Callithrix jacchus: one gene and its partner. The protein of the gene in region 1 interacts with the protein of each later gene in a pairwise test. Links are inferred from orthologs where the notes say so. Each region holds a gene or a part of one and is shown in the gene's direction. Other genes may lie near its edges.

Evidence for each region. The genes of interacting proteins can lie anywhere in the genome.
Region 2: the proteins of TRIP10 (region 1) and WAS interact in a two-hybrid assay, tested with the Homo sapiens proteins (2 studies listed by BioGRID). The link is inferred for Callithrix jacchus from reciprocal best matches to the Homo sapiens genes TRIP10 and WAS.

Annotation. Positions count from the first base shown.
Region 1 is NC_133523.1:6,335,025-6,342,141, forward strand, and holds part of TRIP10 (cdc42-interacting protein 4), read left to right. Parts: intron 1-125; coding exon 126-230; intron 231-331; coding exon 332-460; intron 461-1,478; coding exon 1,479-1,625; intron 1,626-1,724; coding exon 1,725-1,919; intron 1,920-2,924; coding exon 2,925-3,092; intron 3,093-3,347; coding exon 3,348-3,457; intron 3,458-7,117. UniProt on the Homo sapiens protein: Required for translocation of GLUT4 to the plasma membrane in response to insulin signaling. Required to coordinate membrane tubulation with reorganization of the actin cytoskeleton during endocytosis.
Region 2 is NC_133524.1:49,249,047-49,256,736, forward strand, and holds the start of WAS (actin nucleation-promoting factor WAS), read left to right. Parts: upstream 1-3,453; 5' UTR 3,454-3,500; coding exon 3,501-3,632; intron 3,633-3,933; coding exon 3,934-4,074; intron 4,075-4,603; exon of another isoform or gene 4,604-4,738; intron 4,739-5,368; coding exon 5,369-5,455; intron 5,456-5,555; coding exon 5,556-5,658; intron 5,659-5,771; coding exon 5,772-5,813; intron 5,814-5,906; coding exon 5,907-5,960; intron 5,961-6,751; coding exon 6,752-6,926; intron 6,927-7,690. UniProt on the Homo sapiens protein: Effector protein for Rho-type GTPases that regulates actin filament reorganization via its interaction with the Arp2/3 complex. Important for efficient actin polymerization. Possible regulator of lymphocyte and platelet function.

The DNA of each region.
Region 1 (7,117 bases):
CATAGGCTTCCAGTATGCCCTTGTCCCCTACTTACAGGTGACATCCCAACAACCTGAAAGCTGGCTTTTCACCCCGCTGTCTTTGGGATGGTGGCTCCTTCACTCTGGTTCTGTCCCTTACACAGAGTAAGCGTAAATTTGAGCGGGACTGCCGGGAGGCAGAGAAGGCAGCCCAGACTGCTGAGCGGCTAGACCAGGATATCAACGCCACCAAGGCTGATGTGGAGAAGGTGTGTGTGTTGGGGGGAGGCAGGGTCTGGGACAGACTTGGGGGAATCTGAGTGGGATGTGACCAGAACCTGGCAGTCTCCTCCACCGCTGCATTCCCCAGGCCAAGCAGCAAGCCCACCTCCGGAGTCACATGGCAGAAGAAAGCAAAAACGAATACGCGGCTCAACTACAACGCTTCAACCGAGACCAAGCCCACTTCTACTTTTCACAGATGCCCCAGATATTCGATGTGAGTGCTCCCAGTTCTCAGACCTACCTTCCGGAAAGCCCTCAATGTTAACCAACTCTTACACATTCGTCAAAACCCCAGCTGCAATGTTCCAGTCCCTAGATTGAAAGTGAATCAGAAACCTATAATAATAGTCAGATGCTGTTCTTTTAGTCCAGCTGTTCTTCTTGCTGGGCATGCCTTTTACTTATTTGTTTGTTTATTTACTTCTATAGAGAGATGGGGCCCAGCTCTGTCACCCAGGCAGTGGCAAGATCACAGCTTACTGCAGCCTGGAACCCCTTGGCTCAAGCGACCTTTCTTTCTTTTTGAAATTCCTACTTATTCTTCTAAGCTCCACCTCTAACAACTCTTCTGAAAGGTCTCAAATTTTTCTTCTTCTTTTTTTTTTTATTTTTTGAGATGGAGTCTTGCTCTGTCACCCAGGCTGGAGTGCAATGGCGCGATCTCAGCTCACTGCAACCTCCGCCTCCTGGGTTCAAGCGATTCTTCTGTGCCAGCCTCCCGAGTAGCTGGGACTGTAGGCGCACAGCACCACACCTGGCTAAATTTTGTATTTTTAGTAGAGATGGGATTTCACCATATTGGCCAGCCTGGTCTCAAACTCCTGACCTCGTGATCCGCTCTCCTTGGCCTCCCAAAGTGCTGGGATTACAGGTGTGAGCCACCGTGCCCGGCCAAAGTTACCCTCTTGGTTTTAATCTAGTGCTCCACTCTCTGTCCGGTCCCTGGCCCTGGGAATATCAGGGCTGGTTCTGCTTTTTCTTTAAATCCCTGCCCTCTTGTCTCCTTGGAGAAGCCTTTGCCGACCTAGGCAGGCATACCCCTCTGCCATCCCCCTGGCACTGTGTCTCTTCAGCCACACTGGGCTGGAGTCTCTCTTCCCGATTCTGTCTTCCCCTCCAGACTGGCTTGGGGTTGAGGCCAGCGTGGAGCGCGATCATAGTTGCAGAGTGACTCACTGTGCTTCTAGAACCTCTGTTAGCACCCCTGAGCCCCGCTTGCCCCATCCCTACAGAAGCTCCAGGACATGGACGAACGCAGGGCTATCCGCCTGGGTGCTGGGTATGGGCTCCTCTCGGAGGCCGAGCTGGAGGTGGTGCCCATCATCGCCAAGTGTTTGGAGGGCATGAAGGTGGCGGCACATGCTGTGGATCCCAAGAACGTAGGTGCCTGTTCTGGGAACAGTGGGCCGGGGGGTGGGCAGAGGGAGGTCCCCATAAGCAAGGCGCTTGACTGCACATCCCCTGTGCCCCTCTCCCAGGACTCCCAAGTCCTTATAGAGCTGCACAAGTCAGGTTTTGCCCGCCCGGGCGACGTGGAATTCGAGGACTTCAGCCAGCCCATGAACCGGGCACCCTCGGACAGCAGCCTGGGCACCCCCTCGGAAGGACGGCCTGAGCTCCGGGGCCCGGGCCGCAGCCGTGCCAAGCGCTGGCCTTTTGGGAAGAAAAACAAGGTGGGGGCCGGGACCCTTGGGATGCTGGGGGAGAAGGACAGTGAGGTGGGGACAGTGGGGCCCCTACTGAGTCAGCCCCAGCCGCCTGAACGCTGAGTCCCGGGCAGGAATTTTCCTCTTGGCTGCCGGCCCGGGCTGGAGGGAAGGAAGGCGGGCGGGCCGATTGGCCTGGGAGTCCCCCGAGGCGAAGGGGGGGGTGGGGAGGGGAGGTCTGTGGCGTCTGTCTGTTTGCTGCTTCTCGGGATGCTGGGAGAAGACCTGCTGGTGGAATTGAGGGCTGGCCTGAGGGCTGGTGACATCATCCCTGGGGACTCCCCGAGTTCCTCTCTCCATCCTGCTGGTGGGACTCTGGGAACCACCCTGCACGTCCTCTTGTCTTGGCTGTTTGGATTTTCAGACCTTGGCACCCTTGGTTTATACTTTGATTTACACTTCGGGGCCCCCTGACTCAAACTTTCATACCTCTCCTCGACTTACACCTGTGATCTCCGGACTCAGCCCTCTGATGCCCCAACCCCACTCATCTTCCTGCTTCCCACTCCCCTCTCGGCTTGTGGCCTCTGTGGCCCCATATGTGTCTGAGACCGTGATTCCTGCATGCGTCTTCTAGACTGTCAGCCCCGAAAGCTAAGTGGACAGAGAGACATGTGTGCCCCTGCCTCCTGACCCATGCTTGCCCCCGGACATCACCTTCCAGAGACCTAGGAGATACCTGGGGGCCTGAGAGTTCTGGCTTTCGGGCTTACAGTTCGACCTCCTTCCCGCCACCTTCCAGATTTTTTATGTCGCTCTTGCATGCATTTTTCTCTGTGTGGTTGCACATCCTGAGTTGTGGTTTTCTTACCATTTTTTTTCTTTCTCCGTTTTGTTTTTCCTTTTTTTTCTTTGTTGCGTCCATCCGTCCATCCATGCGTCCATTCCTCCGTCCATTCGTCCGCATTCTCTGCATCTTCCTACCCCCACCCACTCCTTCAACCTATCCCTCTCCCCGCCCCCTGCCGGTAGCCTCGCCCCCCACCCCTCTCCCCCCTGGGGGGCCCCATACCCTTGGCATTGCCTAATGGACCCCCGTCCCCCCGCTCCGGCCGTGACCCCTTGACCATACTGAGCGAGATCAGTAAGTCGGTCAAACCGAGGCTAGCATCCTTCCGCAGCCTTCGAGGCAGCCGTGGGGTAAGTGAGGCCTCGGGGCAGGAGGAGGTGGTGGCCCTAGCCTGCCCAGCGGCGGGTGGCGGGACCCTGGGCTCGCTTCCTGCCGCTGGCTGGGCCCCTCTTCCCTGGTTGCCCAACCCAGACCCGCTTTGCTCTGTGCATGGCCTCGCTGCCAAGAATCGTGGCTGGGGAAGGAAGTGAAATAGCTCAGACGTGTGCAGAGTCTGGCAGCCTAGACTCCTTGATCCCCAGTTCAACCCCATACCCACCTTGCAGACAGTGGTGACCGAGGATTTTAGCCACTTGCCCCCAGAGCAGCAGCGAAAACGGCTTCAACAGCAGTTGGAAGAACGCAATCGTGAACTTCAGAAGGAGGTTGACCAGAGGTACGGTGGTGGGGTAGGGAGGGCAGGCAAGGAGCATGATAAAATAGTAAATGAATTCCATTTATTTATCACTTTATTTATTTCATTTTTATTATATTTTATTATTTTTTGAGATGGAGTCTTGCTCTGTTGCCCAGGCCAGAGTGTAGTGGCACGATCTCAGCTCACTGCGACCTCCACCTCCCAGGTTCAAGCAGTTGTCCTGCCTCAGCCTCCTGAGTAGCTGGGATCACAGTTGCATGCCACCATGTCTGGCTAAGTATTTGTATTTTTAGTAGAGACGGAGTTTCGTCATGTTGGCCAGGCTGGACTCAAAACTCCTGACCTCGTGATCCGCTCGCCTCAGCGTCTCCCATCCAAGTACTAACCAGGCCCGACCCTGCTTAGCTTCCGAGATCAGACGAGATCGGGCGCGTTCAGGGTGGTATGGCCGTAGACCGCCTCAGCCTCTCAGTGAGACCCCGTTTTGGCCATTTTTATTTTATTTTAAGACAGGGTCTTGCTCTGTCACCCAGGCTGGAGTGCAGTGGCGCAATCTTGGCTCACTGCAGCCTCATTAAAAGTTGGACTAAAAGTTCAACATCCCAGGTTCAAGCGATTCTGTGCCTCAGCCTCCCAAGTACGTAGGACCACAGGCGTGCACTACCACACCCAGCTACTTTTTATATTTTGGTAGAGGTGGGGTTTTCCCATGTTGTCCAGCCTGGTCTTGAACTCCTGACCTAAGGTGATCTGCCTGCCTTGGCCTTCCATAATGCTGGAATTATAGGCATGAGCCACTGCCCTGGTCTGTAAATGAATGACATCTAAATAGTATTCAGAGATCTCTCCAACAATCTGAAGACCCTGATGATGATCTCCCCAACAATCCCAAGGGACAGTTACTTCTTGACCAGGTGCAGTGGCTCATGCCTGCAATCCTGGTATTTTGGGAGGTCAGGGCAGGAGGATCACCTGAGCCTAGGAGTTTGAGTCCTGCCTGGGCAACAGAGTGAGACTCCATTTCTACAAAAAAAAAAAAAAAAAAAAAAAATAGCTGGGTGTGGTGTTTTGTGCCTGTCTCAGCTACTTGGGAGGCTGAGGTGGGAGGATGGCTTGTGCCTGGGAAGCTGAGACTGCAGATAGCTGTGATTGCACCATATGCACTTTAGCCTGGCTGCCAGAGTGAGACCCTGTCTCAAAAAGAACAAAAGAAACAGTTACTTCTTGTCTTACACAAGTCCTTCCAGCAAACAGAAAAAGAGTGAAACCTGTCAGCCTCTTTAGGCTGAAGAATCCTGATTCCCAAATCAGTGGCCAAGAATTCAAGAAGAGAAAATTGAGGGCTCATTTTACTTTATTTATGATCATAGATCCTAGCCAAGCAAATCCTTCACAAAAGCCTAGCCAAGCAGATCCAGTGTTTAAAAAATAATACATCACTTTGGGAGGCTGAGGCAGGCGGATCACCTGAGGTCAGGTGTTTGAGACAAGTCTGACCAACATAGTAAAACCCTGTCTCTGCTGAAAATACAAAAATTAGCAGGGCATTGTGGCATGCAGCCATAATCCCTACTTGGGAGGCTGAGGTGAACTGCTTGAACCCAGGAGGCAGTAGTTGCGGTGAGCCAAGGTCGAGCCATTGCATTCCAGCCCGGGCAACAAGAGTGAAACTCTGTCTCAAAAAAAAAGAAACAACAAATTTTTTAAAAACTAAAAAAAAAAAAAAAAAAAAAAATTCATCATCACTTGGGCATTATCCCAATAATGCAAAGATGGTTCAATACCAAAAAATCCATCCATCTAGATCACCACATCAATTGGCTGAAAGAAAGAAAAAGCAGCATATGGTTGTCTAACAGTTCAAACACACAAAATATTAACAACAAAAAAATCTGCCAGATTAAAAAAAAATCTTTACTCTTTCCAAGCAACAAAATCTTCTTCCCAGTCCTGTTACATAATAGGAATGACATTTGCCACTTGCTAACAGGCAGCCAAATGGTATTTTGCCATTTGCATGTAACCTCTTGGACAGAATAGCTTTTATTGGTGTAAAGTTCCATTCAGAACTCTCTAGTTCCTGGGTGTCTATGGTGGAGGGGTTAAGGGTGCATGTTCTAGAGTCAAAACAAACTGGACTTGATTTCCAGCTTCATCTCCGAGATCTTGGGCAGCTTGTTTCACCTTCTAATTCCTGTTTCTTCATCTGTAAAGTGGGTCAGGTGTTAGAACTGGAATGAAATTGGCCGGGCGCAGCGGCTTATGCCCGTAATGCAAGCACTCTGGGAGGCCGAGGCAGGTGGATGGCTTGAGGCCAGGAGTTCGAGACCAGCCTGGGCAACATACGGAAATCCTGACTCTATTAAAAATACAAAAATTAGCCAGGCGTGGTGACGTGCACCTGTAATCCCAGCTACTCGGGCAGCTGAGGCACAAGAATCGCTGGAACCCAGGAGGCGGAGGTTGCAGTGAGCTGAGACTGCGCCACTGCACTCCAGCCTGGGCCACAGAGTGAGACTGTGTCTCAAGAAAAAATAAATAAATAACTGAAAGTAAGTCGAGCTTAGGTCTGGTCTTTTCCAAAGATCTGTTATAGTCGTGACTACCTGTATATGTAGACACAGAGGAGACGGAGATGATAGACTAATGATAACGAAAACAGTATTTATTAATCACTTACTGTACTAAACAGTGTACATGGATTTATTTGAATTCTCAAGTTTTCCTTAGAGATTGTATGCAGAGTTAAGATCCTGACTGTCTTGTTTAGTGTTATATTTATCTTTCTGTTTTCTTTTCTTTTTGAGACAGAGTCTCACTCTGTGGGCCAGGCTGGAACGCAGTGGCACGATCTTGGCTCACTGCAATTTCTGCCTCCCGGGTTTAAGCAATTTTCCTGCTTCAGCCTCCCAAGTAGCTAGGACTATAGGCACATGCCACCATGCCCAGATAATTTTTATATACAGTAGAGATGGGGTTTCACCATATTGGCCAGGCTGGTTTCGAACTCCTAACCTCATGATCCACCCACCTTGGCCTCCCAAAGTGCTGGGATTACAGACGTGAGCTACCTCACCCGGCCATATTTATCTTTCTTTCTTTCTTTCTTTTTTCCCCATCCCCTCCTCCCCCTATTTTTAAAAAATTGTTAAAAAAAAATTTTTTTTTTTGAGAAGGAATTTCACTTTTGTAACCCAGGCTGGAGTGCAATGGTGTGATCTCAGCTCACTGCAACCTCCACCTCCTGGGTTCAAGCAGTTCTCCTGCCTCAGCCTCCTGAGTAGCTGGGACTACAGGCACATGCCACCATGCCTAGCTAATTTTTCCATTTTTAGCAGAGACAGGGTTTCCCCCCAAGATGGTCTCAATCTCTTGACCTTGTGATCCACCTGCCTCGGCCTCCCAAAGTGCTGGGATTATAGGCGTGAGCCACCGTGCCTGGCCTTGTTTTAATTTTTTACTAGAGACAAGGTTTCACTCTGTTGTCCAGGCTGGTCCTGAACTCCTGGCCTCAAGTGATCTTTCTGCCTCAGCCTACAAAATAATTCTGGGATTATAGACGTGAGCCACCATGGCCAGCCCAGTGTTTTATTTCTAATGCTAGGAATGGTACTGGTATGCAGTAGGTACTCAGTATGTATATGAGTAATAGTGAGGGTTTACCAAGCATCAGGCATC
Region 2 (7,690 bases), on another chromosome or scaffold:
ATCGTAGTCCCTCTAAACCCTTCAGGATGAAGGGTTCCCTTATAAAAAGGAAGGGCAAATATGTCAGAGGCATTTGAACCAGAGTGATTCCGTCTTGAGTAGCGACTGGGTAAAATAAGGCTGAGACCTACTGGGCTGCATTCCCAGGAGGTTAGGCATTCTTATCTAACAGGAAGGGATAAGATGTCAGCACAAGATACAGGTCACAAAGACCTTGATGATAAAAGTTTGCAGTAAGGAAGTTGGCTAAAATCCACCCAAACCGAGATAGCAGTGAACATGGCCTCTGGTCTTCCTAACTGCTCATTAGCCACTAATTATGATGCACTAGCCTGCTAAGAGACACTCCCACCAGCGCTATTACAGTGCCATGGCAACATCAAGAAGTTACCCTAAATGGTCTAAAAAGGGGAGGAATGCTCAGTTCCCAGAATTGCCCACCCCTTTCCTGGAAAACTCATGAATAATCTGCCCCTTGTTTAGCATATAATCAAGAAATAACTGGCTGGGCGCGTGGCTCAGGCCTGTAATCCTAGCACTTTTGGAGGCCGAGGTGGGTGGATCAACTGAGGTCAGGAGTTCAAGACCAGCCTGGCCATCGTGGTGAAACCCCATATTTTTTCTATAATAATAAAAAATAATAATTCTAAGTATCCTTAGTCCAGCAGCCCAAGCTGCTGCTCTGCCTATGGAGTAGCTATTCTTTATTTTACTTTCTTAATAAACTTGCTTTCACTTTAAAAACAAAAACAGGCCGGGTGCGGTGGCTCACGCCTATAATCCCAGCACTTTGGGAGGCTGAGGCGGGTGGATCATAAGGTCAAGAGATTGAGACCATCCTGGTCAACATGGTGAAACCCCGTCTCTACTAAAAATACAAAAATTAGCTGGGCATGGTGGCACGCGCCTGTAGTCCCAGCTACTCGGGAGGCTGAGGCAGGAGAATTGCTTGAACCCAGGAGGCAGAGGTTGCAGTGAGCTGAGATCGCGCCATTGCACTCCAGCCTGGGTAACAAGAGCAAAACTCCATCTCAAAAAAAATAAAAATAATAAAAACAACAACAACCAGCAAATATATCAGAGGCTTAGCGTCCCCTATTCAAGGGGACAGTTCTGGAGGCAGAGAAAAAGATAGAAAGGTATAGAACAAAAGACAGAGAGGAGCAGATGAATTTTATCTCGGCCCCCATGTGGCACCTCACAGCTTGGGAACAACTATTTCTCTCATAATTTTCCTCAACTCCACCAGTCACAAGCTGTGTGACCTTGGGTAAGGCACCCAAGTTCCTCTGGGCCTCAGCTTCCCCATCAGTACAATGGGGATAACAACAATAGTCCTTACTTGGTGGGGTCATCTGTGAATGTGAAATGAGTTAATAAATGGAAGGCACTTAGAAAAACCTCTGAAACCACTGAATCGAATTGGATATCATTATTGATCCCTCATTCAATCCCTCAATACCCATTTAGTGCCATCTGTCCAGATGCTGGAGATACTCCTGGCACACCGTGACTGCTCATCGAGCGTGTCACAATGAACATGTGCAATGGCCTTGAAGGCCACATCGGGGCCTGCCCTGATCAGCTGGTTGGAAGTGCTCTAGGCCTGAAGCTTAGCTGTGAGTGGGGACACGGGAGGGAGGTTGGAACTGCCACTGCAGAAGGGACTCTCAGCCTAGGTTCAGGAGAGAGGCTTTGAACCTGCATGTGTGGGGAGCCATGGAAGTTTCCAGGAAGGGCTGCAGGTCCCATCTGGAGATGTGCCATTCCTCCTTCAGGTACCTAGGAATGTCAGTCACACCCCAGACCTGCTCAGCTCCCCAAAACTGCTGTCCCTATGCCTGAGAGCTTCAAGTCCCCAGAACGTGCACTTACTCTTGGCCTGCCTGGCTCGCACTCCTGGAAAAGGGTTCAGAACAGTGCCTGGCACATACATTAAGTGCTATGCGAGTGAAGATAAAACTAGGATGTCCAGTGGGGAGAACGCAAGCCTTTGAATATTATGTGCTTTTACAAACTTCAAGAGCAAAGAAAACTAAACAAGATGTTGTTCAGGTATATCATATATGATATAAATTTCCTTTCTTTTTTTTTTTTTTTTTGAGACTGAGTTTCGCTCTTGTTACCCAGTCTGGCGTGCAATGGTGCGATCTCGGCTCACCGCAACCTCCGCCTCCTGGGTTCAGGCAATTCTCCTGCCTCAGCCTCCTGAGTAGCTGGGATTACAGGCACCCGCCACCATGCCCAGCTAATTTTTTTGTATTTTTAGTAGAGACGGGGTTTCACCATGTTGACCGGGATGGTCTCGATCTCTTGACCTCGTGATCCACCTGCCTTGGCCTCCCAAAGTGCTGGTATTACAGGCTTGAGCCACCGTGCCTGGCCCTAAAGTTCCTTTCTTTAAAAAAGGGATGACAAGCAGAAAGTAATTTGGGAGCTGTGGAGAGGCAAGGTAAGGGATGGGGGAGTGAACCAGAGGCATATGCGTAATTGGCAGTGTCTGGGTACTCAGGATAGGGGTGGATCACAAGGGCTCGCTCTGTAATTAAAAGGAAAGGGTTTTTTTGTTTGTTTTTGAGACAGAGTCTTGCTCTGTCATCATCCAGAATGGCATGCAGTGGTTCGATCTCAGCTCACTGCAACCTCTGCCTCCCAGGTTCAAGTGATTCTCCTGCCTCAGCCTCCTGAGTAGCTAGGACTATAAGTGTGTGCCATCATGCCTGGATAATTTTGGTAATTTTTTTTCTTTTTCTTTCATTTTTTAGAGATGGGGTGTCACCATGTTGGCCAGGCTGGTCTTGAACTCCTGACCTCAGGTGATCCACCCATCTCAGCCTCCCAAAGTGCTGGGATTACAGGCGTGAGCCACTGTGCCTGGCCTAATTTTTGTATTTTTTAGTAGAGATGGGGTTTCACCATATTGCCCAGGATGGTCTTTAACTCCTGACTTCAAGTGATCTGCTCGCCTCGGCCTCCCAAAGTGTTGGGATTACAGGCGTGAGCCACCGCGCCTGGCCAAAAGGAAAAATGTTACTGTAGTAACCCTTCAGCACTAGGGACCTAGAGCCTTAGTCTCAGGCTACCTGGGTGCCTTACAAAGGAGGCCACCCAGGCCCATGGCTACTCTTTGCCACAGGGAGCCCTGCACACAGATGTGCTGCTGATGGCTAAGCTCTCACTGCCTGCCAGAGGGAGGAGGGTCTGAGCCAGTCAGAGGAGATAGGCCCCAGAGAGTAAGAAAGACGGAGGAGGAGGACCCAAGCTGATCCAAAAGATGGGTCTAAGCAGTTAAGTGGAAGAGGGTTCCAATCTGATGGCAGAGGGCCCAAGCTTGGCCTAATGAGGAGGAGGCCAGGCCCACCAAGGGGCCCCTGGAGTACTTGTTTCACTTGTCCCTTGTGGGTTTTTGCACTTCCTGTTCCCTTGCTGCTCACTGCGGAAGTTCCTCTTCTTACCCTGCACCCAGAGCCTCACTGGAGAAGACAAGGACAGAAAGCACCATGAGTGGGGGCCCAATGGGAGGAAGGCCCGGGGGCCGAGGAGCACCAGTGGTTCAGCAGAACATACCGTCCACCCTCCTCCAGGACCACGAGAACCAGCGACTCTTTGAGATGCTTGGACGAAAATGCTTGGTGAGCTGGGGATCTCCTGCCCCCGCCCCGTCCTCACTGTTTCCTCCTCTTCCTCTCCGCCTTCTCTTTCTTCCCCTCCTCCCGCTCCTCCTTTCCCTCTCCATCATCTTCTCTCCTAGAATCTCCTGTCATCGTCCACCCTTCCCAGGAAGAACCCAATGTCTACTTGCTTTCCCTCTGGCTGCATGCAGTTCTTCCTTCAGGCCCACGACTGTCATGAGGCAGGAAGGACCAGGTCTGGCTCCAAGACCCTGTGGCTACACCTGACCAGACTCCACTGACCCCTGCTTTCCCCTCCCAGACGCTGGCCACCGCAGTTGTTCAGCTGTACCTGGCGCTGCCCCCTGGAGCTGAGCACTGGACCAAGGAGCATTGTGGGGCTGTGTGCTTCGTGAAGGATAACCCCAAGAAGTCCTACTTCATCCGCCTTTATGGCCTTCAGGTGACTCCCACCCCCCTACTGGACTTGCAAGCCAGTTCTCAACTCACAAACCCAGATCTGTCAAATCTGTGTCCATCTGTGTCCATCGCCCCAAGACCTCAGACCTGATTAATGAATCCCTGAGCCCCAGAACCAAAGACTCAGCCAGATGGCAAACTGTAGCTTGCCTTTCTAAGTCTACAATGACTGGCCTCAGCCTCCATATCAAAATCTCTAAAGCCCCCCAATTATTAGTATACTGCCTAAGCCTAATCTTTTCTACAAATTCCAAGAAATGAGCACTGTATTTATACCTGAATCTATTCTAAACTCAACATTTTGCATCCCAGGAATCCTTCATCAAAACTCTTGAACCCCAGATGTTTGCCAAGCTCCTAAGTCATAAATCAGTTCCCCAAACCCCAAACTTGAATATTCCATTGATCCTTGAACTCCACATCTGTCCTTTTAAATCCACAGCACAGACCCCAGAGTTCCCATATTAAAATTCCTGAACACTCAAATACCAAGGTAGTTTTTTTTTTTTAACCTATGTGTCCAAGGCATGAACCAGGCATAGGCACAGATCAAGAGCCAAGCTGGGATGAACAAGGGGTTGCTTTGTCCCTGGCTGATATGAGATGGGCACTACCAACCAGATGCCACTCTACCCAGGTCAGGGACACAAGGTAGTTCTTAAGAAAAAAGTCTTTTTCACAATCCCCCAACCTGAACTTTCTAGGTTTAAGCCCCAAATTCATCCTTCTAAACCCATAAAGATGGACTCAGCATAACTTCAAGATCCCAAGCCTGTCAAAGCTTGACCAAACTCCTAAGCCATGACTCTTCTCCACAAACCCCAAATTGCACTTACTTTAGCTGGACTCCCCACAAAACTCCCAAATCTATGTGTTTGAACTTCAAATCTCAACTCTAACTCCCAAATACCAGAATCCTACCTGTCATTAATTGGGGCTGGGGTGGCAGGGAAGGGCACAGATTGAGTCTCTGAATGAGTCTCAACTTCCTAAGACTAGAGTCCTAAATTATGAAATTCAAGCTCCCGAGTCCCACATCTAGGGCCCTGAACCCCAAATCCAAACCTCTCACAAAAGTGTCTGACTCCTAGATTGTACCCCAACTCCCCACATCCACACTGTTAGATTCCCCAGCTCTCTGGTACTGAGCTAAAAATCTCCAAACCAGACTATGAGACCCCCAAATCCAGACACCCTGCTCCCTGCCCAGCTAACAAAGGCCTGCCACCCCCGGCTTGCCTCAGTGCCACTGTGTCTCCCACCCTACACCTCTCCAGGCTGGTCGGCTTCTCTGGGAACAGGAGCTGTACTCACAGCTTGTCTACTCCACCCCCACCCCCTTCTTCCACACCTTCACTGGAGATGTAAGTGACCAACCAGCCCTTGAGCCTCACTTGGGTTTTGGAGAGGAGATGGGAAAGCTGCGGGGGACCTGGGAGGTGGCTGACCCCAAGGTATGTGCAGGACTGCCAAGCGGGGCTGAACTTTGCAGACGAGGGCGAGGCCCAGGCCTTCCAGGCCCTGGTGCAGGAGAAGATACAAAAAAGGAATCAGAGGCAAAGTGGAGGTGAGGAGGCTGCAGGGGAGGAAAGGAAATTGGGCAGAAGTGAGTGTAAGTATGGGAAACTAGAAAAGTCTCCTCTCATGGTTTTCACTCCCAATCCATCTGTCTATCCACAGACAGACACCAACTACCCCCACCACCAACACCAGCCAATGAAGGTGAGTCCTCTAGTACAAGTAGGGGTAATAAGGGGCTATCCCAAGAACCTGTGGCAGAGTTGTGATAGCTCTTGACACATCCCATCTTCCCAGAGAGAAGAGGAGGGCTCCCACCCCTGCCCCCACACCCAGGTGGAGACCAAGGAGGTGCGTGCTGATTCTTCCCTGTGTCTCTGGATGGATGGGTGGGTAGGTGGAAGAGTGGATGGAGGAATGAGCAGTTGGATGGGTGCCTAAGTGGGTGAATGGATGGGTATGTGGATGGATGAGTGGGTGCATGGATGTGGGGATCGATGGACGGGTGGGTGGATTCGTGGCAGATGGCTGAGTGGAGGGATGAATTGATGGGAGGATGAAAGTCTAAGTAGATAGATAGATGCATAAGTGGGCCGGGCGCTGTGGCTCACGCCTGTAATCCTACCACTTTGGGAGGCCGAGGTGGGTGGATCACCTGAAGTCAGGAGTTCAAGACCAGCCTGGCCATCATGGTGAAACCCCATCTTAAAAAAAAAAAAAGATAGATGCATAGGTGAATGGGTATGTGGATAAATGAATGAAAGGGTGTATGGATGACTGAGTAAATTCGTGAATGAGTGAATGAATGAACAGTGAATAAACGAGTACAAGACAAATTTGGTCAGTGAAGAAAGCAGGATGAATAAATAAATCAGTAAATGAAAATGTTAACAAATTCATTAGTCAGTGAGCCAGTGAATGATAAACCATGAGGGAATGAAAATAATGAATGAATCAGTGAATGTATGAATGGTTTGCAGGATCCACTCACTTCTCTATAGACCCTCCTTGAACCCTTCACCCACTCCCTCCATGACCATCCAACACACACACAGATTTCCCCAAGGCTTCTGTTTCTTGCCCCTATGCTTTGGTTGGTTGGTAAGTGGGTCAATGGGCCAACCACCCTATTTTCCCCACAGGCCCACCTGCTGGTCCGCTGTCCCTGGGGCTGGCGACAGTAGACATCCAGAACCCTGACATCACAAGTTCACGATACCGTGGACTCCCAGCACCTGTACCTGGCCCAGCTGATAAGAAACGCTCAGGGAAGAAGAAGATCAGCAAAGCTGATATTGGTGCACCCAGTGGATTCAAGTGAGAATCACTCCCCAGTGGGCCCATAGATTCCTGGGGCAGAGGGGCACATAAACAAGTGAACAGCTGAGTGGATGGAAGGATGGGCAGATGGCTGGGTGACTGGGTGGGTAAATAAGTGGATGGATAGGTAGGTGTAGGGCTGGGTCTAGAGAGAGGTAAATAAGGCAGTAAGTGTGAAAAATTTAAGGAGGTATTCACTCTTAGGAGCATGCAACTGTAATTCCTGACTCACTTAAATTTTACACCTCAGGCACCTCACTTGCCTCACCCTGGGCCCACTCTGAGTGGGCTGTTAGAGGAGAAGATGGGTGGGCAGGTGGATGAATGGATGAATAGATGAGGTAGATGATGGATGAGGTGGGCTGGTGGGTAGGTGGCTGAGTGGATGGGTGGATGGATGCATAAATGCATGGAAGAATGAATAGGTTGAAGAATGAATGGATAAGTGGTTGGATGGACGGGTTGATGGGTTGATGGGAGGTGGGTGAGTAGATGGATGGGTGAGTGGATGAGTGTGTGGACAGACTGATATGCAGGCTGACTGGTTCACAGACAAGGTGGATGGTGATGGACAGGTGGATAGATAGGTGGATGAATGGACAGTTCAATGGATAAGTGAACAGAAGTGTGTGGTTGCATGGGTAGAAAAATGAGTGAGTGGATGGATGGAAAAGTGGCACATGGGTAGGTAGATGGACAAGTGTGTGTGAGGACAGATTGGTAGACAAATGGGTGAACAGACATATGTGGGCAGACAGTTG